Linked DNA regions of Oryzias latipes. Each later gene encodes a partner of the first gene's protein in a complex. Links are inferred from orthologs where the notes say so. Each region holds a gene or a part of one and is shown on either strand. Other genes may lie near its edges.

What was found.
Region 2: rbm48 (region 1) and cript share a complex: the UniProt entries of both Homo sapiens proteins name them as parts of the minor spliceosome. The link is inferred for Oryzias latipes from reciprocal best matches to the Homo sapiens genes RBM48 and CRIPT.

What each region holds. Positions count from the first base shown.
Region 1 is NC_019869.2:21,761,723-21,765,612, forward strand, and holds rbm48 (RNA-binding protein 48), read left to right. Parts: upstream 1-1,293; 5' UTR 1,294-1,308; coding exon 1,309-1,470; intron 1,471-1,931; coding exon 1,932-2,122; intron 2,123-2,204; coding exon 2,205-2,350; intron 2,351-2,566; coding exon 2,567-3,102; intron 3,103-3,108; exon of another isoform or gene 3,109-3,193; coding exon 3,194-3,256; 3' UTR 3,257-3,346; downstream 3,347-3,890. Other genes in the region: pex1 (peroxisome biogenesis factor 1), read right to left, coding at 23-106, 206-352, 992-1,099; efcab1 (EF-hand calcium-binding domain-containing protein 1), read right to left, coding at 3,407-3,457, 3,530-3,634, 3,759-3,890. UniProt on the Homo sapiens protein: As a component of the minor spliceosome, involved in the splicing of U12-type introns in pre-mRNAs.
Region 2 is NC_019877.2:12,480,824-12,485,036, forward strand, and holds the start of cript (cysteine-rich PDZ-binding protein), read right to left. Parts: upstream 2,852-4,213; 5' UTR 2,739-2,851; coding exon 2,723-2,738; intron 2,520-2,722; coding exon 2,454-2,519; intron 1,082-2,453; coding exon 1,027-1,081; intron 879-1,026; coding exon 775-878; intron 1-774. Other genes in the region: pigf (phosphatidylinositol-glycan biosynthesis class F protein), read left to right, coding at 3,267-3,494, 4,011-4,102. UniProt on the Homo sapiens protein: As a component of the minor spliceosome, involved in the splicing of U12-type introns in pre-mRNAs. Involved in the cytoskeletal anchoring of DLG4 in excitatory synapses.

The sequences.
Region 1 (3,890 bases):
CAAAAGTCAATATTTCACTCACCAAAATCTCCCAGTCATCAGATGACAGTGGCTCCACAAACACCTGATTCAGCGAAGAGACTTGATGGCATGGTCTGAGAAAACACTGTGAAAACCACTCAATGTCAGACCAATGTTAAGAGACTGTTGCACAGGCAGTGTTCGTCCCAGTTGATGACCTAAAGGAAGAAACCAAGGTCTTTACCTGTTCTCCATCAGTCAAACCGAGCTTTTCTCCAAGCTGCCGAGACAACTCCACTCTGTGGCTGTCTGCTCCTAAGGAGGCTCTGATGGGACACCAGCTAAGGAACACTGTCGACCCGCCGTCCCAAGACAGCTCCAAAGCCTGATTCTAAAACGGACCGGCCAAAGAGAGACGATGAAATAAGACACAGAATGGTCTCTTAAAGCGGATGTCGAAATTATGATTCCAACTTTATGAATGTTAGATACTTGTGATACCTTTATTAGTTTTTATTCTTGTACATTTTGTATCATTACATACATTTCAGATTTTATGCTCAGCAGAAGAATTAAATTAAAAAATTGCAAAAATATTCCACAGGTGTGGTAGCAAAATATAGAAATATTGAGATGATCACATTAGTTATTATAATAATCAACCTTTTCTAAATTAAACTATTTCTAGGAGTTAATGTGTTAAAAATCAAAACAATGCAGTTTCCTTTAGACTAAAGACCCCTGAATGAGGACAGTATTTGATGCCCAATTTCTATTTTTACCAACAATTCATTTTTTGTTGCCTTGCATTACTTCCTAATACTAATTAAGTACACGTGATAATAAAAAAATGCTCTGCTTTTGTTATAAGTTTTAATTAAGAAAAACTAAAACCTTAAATGCAACCAAAGGTCCCCTTGTAATGTCAGAGAAACAAACCAGCAATGTGTAAAACACAAAAGCAGTCATTATTCAGTAAACTTTATGCAACAAAACTGAAGCGATGTTAAGTAATTAGCTAATACTTTACCTCATTCAGAGAAAGGTGCGATATCAGCTTTGAAGAGAGTTGAATAAAGCAGTTTTTAGTGTTGTTAAAAACAACACATACTGGTTGAATTCCCTGGTTGCTAAACATGACGTTTACATCGCTATTTTAGCATTTAAAGTGCTTAACATGCTGGTGCGCTAACGGCCAAAGTGCAACAAACATTTCGATGAATGAGAGAACTGATCCAGACAAAACAGTCGATTGTCGATGGAATCGATCATTTCAAAATAAGACTGCCACGTCGTCAACACTACACGTTGAGTGCTCTGCACAACGGAATGAACTCTTGTTTTGAAATGCCACCAAAGCGGAAACGCGTTTCAGCAAACATGGCGGCAAATGTCAACAGTAAACCTGGTTGTTGGAAGGTCCCAGAAGTCTACAAACATCACGAACAACACAACGCATGTTTTTCTAGACCCAAATATAGAGATGGAAGGAGAGCTAAAGCAGTCAAGGTAAGAAAAACGTTTCTAATGTTTGTAGCAAAGACGGTCTGTGTTGACGCAAGCGACGAGCTAATAATTATGTGTAAGTTGGTTTTATTTTTACATTTAAGAATGTAAGAGAAAATTTTAAAATCTTTTTTTTTAACTGGAAGAAAAAAGTATAAATTGTAGTCACACAGCAAGTGATAAATAAAAGACCAACGGCAGGTCTTAAAAAAACAAATAAAACTGTCGTTTTGGCAAAAATAAATAAATAAAATTAAATAAAAGACATGGTAAAAAGTTTGAGTCATTTCGAAAAAATTGTAATTAATAAACCATAAAAATCAAATTTCTAATACAGTAGACTGGATTTCTGAGTTGCAGGAAAGTACATCAGATCTGATGATTATGTCTTTAAGTTAATTGATTTTTATTGGTCACGTCAACAGCCTCACATATACTAATAACCATGCCTTTGTATCTGCCAGGTCTACACAATAAATTTAGAGTCCCGTTATGTGATGATCCAGGGAGTCCCCGCTATTGGAGTGATGGAGGAGCTGATCCAGTTGTGTGCTCTTTATGGAACAGTGGAGGAATACAGACCGCTGGACGAGTATCCTGCTGAGGAGTTCACAGAAGTCTACCTGGTCAAGTTTCAAAAACTGACAAGTGCTAGGTATGGCGGGCACCTTAACTGTACTGCCCTAAACCAGAAATGCTGAAAAATATGTCATTCAGGTTGATATTTGATGTTCCAGAGCGGCGAAACGTAACATGGATGAGAAGAGTTTCTATGGCGGCGTGCTGCATGTGTGTTACGTCCCGGAGTACGAGTCTGTGGAAGACACCAAGTTAAAGCTGCAGGACAGGAGAAGTTATGTTCTGAAAGTGGCTCGGAGTAGAGGTATTATCGCATTTTGACGATATACGGTGTTGAAAAGCACTGAATCTTTTTTTTCTTAGGTAATTGTTTTTTAAAAGTTCAATGAAAAAAAACTGTGATTAAAAAATTTTTTTTGTGTATTTTTATCTGAAATCAAATGTTTTTTGTTGTTTTGTAAGTTTAAAGTATAGATAAAGAATTTGATGAGTGTCATTTATCTGTTTCATGTTTATACAGCAAAAGAAAGAGTAGCGGATGCGGTACACATGGAATCTACGTCTTCAGAAAGCGTTCCCACATCAAGCAGAGTTTTTGCTACAAATAATCCAATCTTCAATAGTGACAAAACAGGCGAGACTTCAAGCTTCAGCCATTGTTCCGGATTTCCTCTACTGCCTTTACCCCCGCAGGAATACTTTCATCAGGATTATCGTGGGAACGAACCAACAGAAGATCAAATGGGGACTTTACATGACGCAGTGCCTCCTGACGTAAAACAGCAGAAAGTCCAGAACTTTAGCTCTTTCAGTAAAGACCCTAATTCCGAAAAAAAATTGGCCTCCAACCCAGATTCTTCCGTCAAGCTTGTTCCAAGAACTGCACATTTGGAAAAGAACAAACGCCGCAAAATGGAGGAGGCCACAAAACAGCCAGTGCCTGATTCTGGAGAACCGTCTTTGATTGGACCAAAACTACCAGAACCACATAAGCTGGACATGAATGATCAGTCGCTAAACACAACAGTAAATCTGATCAGGGGCACAATGAAGCAGGTAGTCTTTTATTTTTTTTTTAATGAGAATTAGAGCTTGACATGATGCCATATTGGTGCATTTCAGTCTCATTCTTTTCATTCATTCCTAGGTGACATCGGTCCCAGACCTCAAACCAGCGGAGAAGAAGGTTAAGCCACGCCGTCGGATATGATCCATTCTGTTTTAGTGACGACTGTCCATATTTATCAAAACTAACGTTGAAAGGCTCAACTTAAAATAAAATTGTACTTTAAGAAAAACATTTTGGCTTTTTCTTTCATGAAAGTCTCAAAGTTGAACACCGCTTGCACTTCATATTTTATTATTCATCTTGCTGCTTTTCCAGTACTTGCTGCTCAAACTTCTTCTTTGTCTAAAAAGAAAGATTTAAGTTAAATAGATCCTTACAATATTTTTAAGCTCAGCAACTTTTGGTTGTGATTACCCTGAAATTGGGCAGGCAGCTTCCAAAGGCTTCAAGGAGTAGCTCCTCCTTTTTTACAGACTTCTCAAAATCTTGAAAAGACAGCCTGCCGTCTTTGTCGTGGTCCTGTGGAATCACAGGAAGCAATGTTGGCATGTTACCAAAATAAATCTGCACACATCAAGACAAAATTCTTACAATCAACATCGATCCAAATGTGACAAAGGCAGATGGGAGGGCAACATCTCACCATTTTTTTGAGGACAATTTCCATCAGTTCGTTGATCTCATCCTGTTCATCTTGATAGTCGTCTTCTCTGCCTTCCTCTTCAAGCCGCAGATGGAAACTGTCCTTCAGCAAGAGAAAAATGTCGTCTCTCGT
Region 2 (4,213 bases), on another chromosome or scaffold:
TGTGCAAGCAAAAAAAAAAATCATTAAAAATATCACCACCCGGTAAGTTTGAGCCTTTGGGTTTCACTTGAATAGCAAAGTTTGACAAACATCTCAATAAATAAATATTTTATTTTTGCCCATTTAGTTGTTGTTTCACAGCAGTTTGGGTTGTGCATATATTCAGGCATAATTTTTAGCTCAGGGGCTATTTTTGACCACTTCATCAAAACCTGCAATATTTGGGGCACAACATGCAATTCTGCAATCAATGTAAAACCTTGTATCCACTTCTGCAAGCCGAGTGCTTGGGGCTGGGGTCGAGGTTTGTAAAAATATGGCTTTTGAGGTTTGAATTTCATCACTCAGTTCAAATACTTTACAGACATAAACAAACAGTTAAGTTAACCTATTCCTATACCTTTAAATTCTTTGTATCAGTCACCAGGAACCCTAAAAAAATTACATTTACATCAAAGGATATTTTATAAATTAAAGTGTGTAGTGAGAAGATAATAAAGGACTTGCCAACATGTGTACATTTATATAAATGGGCATCTGTTATGGAAGCACAAACATATGCCAGCACAATGTTGGTTATAGTAAAGATTTACAAAATTACAGACAAATTTATATCAATATTATGACTGAACATAAAAATGAAAAACCTACTTAATACTGTTCTGCTTTAATATGATTTTTGGTTCTACAATACATTGTAGTGTTAATTTTTGACATGTTACCTTCAATTTGTATTGAAGAAAATAAAAATAGAGTTTAAGTGCACAACTATACCTTTCTTGTAAGCACAGCCCTGGCAGTAGTGCGATCCAGGCTGATGAACAGAGCTCTTGCAGATTCTGCAGATGGCAAAGCCCGTCTTACTGTAAGGGTCGAACCTGAGAAAAACCACAGTTAAACATTGAGAATTAGCAACATCAAAGAACCTTAACAGCAAAATAAACCACTAGTGCTTACAGAAAGCTAGAAACTACTACACTGCCATTTGATTTATGAGTAAAAGTTTTTTCACAGTGCAATACTCACCTGGCCTTCTTAGATGTCAACATCTTGTTTTCATTTAGTTTACGGCCTCCACTCTCTAAGAAAAATAAAACAACATTGTGAGATTATATATACACATGTATGTACATACATACATACCAGTGGCGATTTCTTTAAGACTGCAAGGGAAGCTCTGCTTCCCTTATAATGTCACAAAATAAATGGTCAAATATGTACTATTGTATTGTATTGTATTTTATTTTATTAACATTTTATTGACTAAAAATGTGTAAGAAAACGTTCATCTCAAAGACGAGTTCGTTAAGAATCAGTTACATATAGCAAGTCGCCTGACTCGATTTCCTTCTCATACATTCCCGCAGCATCACAGTGCATTTCTCTAAAGAAGCCCAGCGTCCATTGACTTCAATCGGGCTGCTTTGAACATTTTTTTTCTGCGCTTCGAAACTAGATGGTCATTGGATAAACGCTGTGATTATGTCCCGCCAACGGATGCTCAGCGTCTCTGGGGGTGAGTGGGGAGTGGGCCAGCCCAAACTCCGAGCTTCTCCGTGATGATTGAAGGGTCTGTTAAAAGACCGCCTTCTGACTGAAGCTTTTCGCTTATTCACATTTCTCAAGTTCAGTCGAACTAAAAACTGCTGCAACCTATTTCTTTGATAATTGCTGGGCTAAATTGCTTGATTTTCATCATACATTTCACACAATTATACACCACATTGATTGTTTCAGTTTTACAGAGTTTAATATTTTTTTTTAGATAGTTAATTCTTCCCTTTGATTCAGGAAGACTGAGGTCAGAACTTCAAGTCCTGTTTTCAGATCAGGACTTGCAGGGTAACAGGGGAAAGCTGTATGATTACTTGGTGTTCCTTAAAGACATGGAGTTGGACAGTCCAATGCCTCAGCTTTACAAACTGTTCTCATTAGTGGCAACAATTGGAGTTACATCTGCAGGTGTAGAAAGGAGCTTCTCCTGTTTAAAGTGACTTAAGTCCTACACCCGAAACACAATGGGCTAAGGCTGTTTAAGCAGCCTAGCTCTGCTGGCCATTGAGAGGACATTGGTCAAGTCAGTTGAGACACCTAGTTGGTACGACAGGGTCACAGACCATTTTCTTGAAAAGGAACGTAGGGCATAAATACTTTTAAATAAATAGACAATTTTATGATGTAGGCCGAAAATGAGCCGACAGACAGACCGACAGACAGACAGACCGACCGACCGACCGACCGACCGACGGGGAAAACAGATATGTAAATGAGTACTGTTCTAATAAATATTTTAGCAGTAGCTTCTCCTTCCATCGTTTCGATTCCTTAATGACGTTCATTTACAAGACAGATTTTTTGGGGGCAACATATTTATTTTACCTGTCGTTCCACGATTGTCTAAATTATTAAACGTGTAAACATTTTTGGATGTTTTTGGATAGAGACTACGTTACCAGTCGTATTTCGTGCTCCATCCTTCCAAGTGTCAGGAGTGATGACCTTTCCGAGCTTCTTTTCGCCTAAAATATTAGGAAATCCCACATTAACAAAGAATTATTAATAATTAACAAAGCTAACTACGAGCAAGGAAAACCAAAACAAATGCTAGCATAACAAAATATTAGCCACTCAACAAAACAACAAAAATGTCACTAACTAACTATATTAACTAAGTCATAAGTGTAAAATTATGTAAGAAACAAGGCGAAAGTGCGATATTTACATTTTTCACAAACCATCTCAGCTGCGTTTACTTGGCCTGTCTTGATATAAAATGTGTACAAGCGTTCAAGCTAGCTCTGCTCATGTAACTTCCGGTTGTCTTCGTCAACTTGTACAAACAAATCTCATTGGGTAATCCTGTCAGTAAAACGTTATGTGATTCGTTCACTCCGACTAGAAGCGCATTTCTAAAATCCAGAATAAAAGTAAAATGAGAGTAACAATATTTTCGCCACGGAATCAGCACTCGAAAATATAAATTTCACTTTAGAAAATAGTATTTTATTATAAAGTGTTGAATATGATTTAAATATGTTGGGTAATGTATGTCAAAACAAAGAAATTGGTAGAAATTAACAATCAAAAGAGAATCTTCTGTTTTATTGTGAAACGCAAACGGAAATTGCTTTTTTTTTTTCATATTTACGGAAGCGTAGTCATACATGGATTTGCGTGTCCTTTCGCCTACCAAAATTCTAAGACACCTCTACTGAAATTATCTACATTATTCTATTGTCTTGTTGTGAAAAGTGAAAGTCTTCATCATGTGGGACCACGAAATCAGAGCCATGGTGTCGACCCACGCTCTGATCGCCGCTTCGATGTTCATGGCTACGGTGCTACCTGCAGTTTTTGTTCTAAGCTTCTCGGTGTACGGCACTCACCTGTTGTGGCTGTACTGCACATCCGGTGCTGTGAATGCTGTCAGTGTCGTCGTCTTCTGGCTCCTCGGCGTCACACCGTCCACTAAAAAAAATACACTTGGATATAAGGTCAGAATGTCTTCCCTCGGAAATGTCTTTATTTTGTCCAAACCCAAAGAAATGTGCTTGATTTGTTTAAGGTTTTTGCCAAATAGTCATACGTATATGAGAGAAGTATCAGAAATAATTATTACACAATTTAAAATAATAGAAAACTAGGTTTTTCAAAACAATTAATTCCTATTATTTACTCGTAAACGTTTTGTCTCGTTTTTAAAAAACAAATTTGCAAATGGACGTTTCAGTAATAATTAGAAATGTGTATTTCTGATTTGAACACATTTTTAATTGAGTTTATAAACATTTGCTACAGTGCTTTATTTTCACGTTAAACATTTTAAATTCATATGACAGTCTATATGCAATTGTTGCTTATTAACATTTTTCTGCTACAACAAACTCATATAAAAAAATAATTTTTCTGAGCTTTTACATATAAAAATTGTTCATTTTTTAAGTGGATTTTTCTCAAATGTCTACGTTGTAACTTTTTGGTAATAATGATAATCCTGTTTCTTTCCACAGCTTTCCAGGCTGTTTCGTGCCTGTCTGTACTTTTTCTTGTCATGTCTGTTCTTCCACACTGTGATTGTCCTTTATGGAGCCCCGTTGATTGAGTAAGTCTATTAGAAAAAAATCTTTGAAATTGTTTTTAAAATGTATCTGTAAAAAAGGGCAGATGTTTTCTGCATGCAGACAACTTTAGTGCATTCTCCTCTGTTTGACCA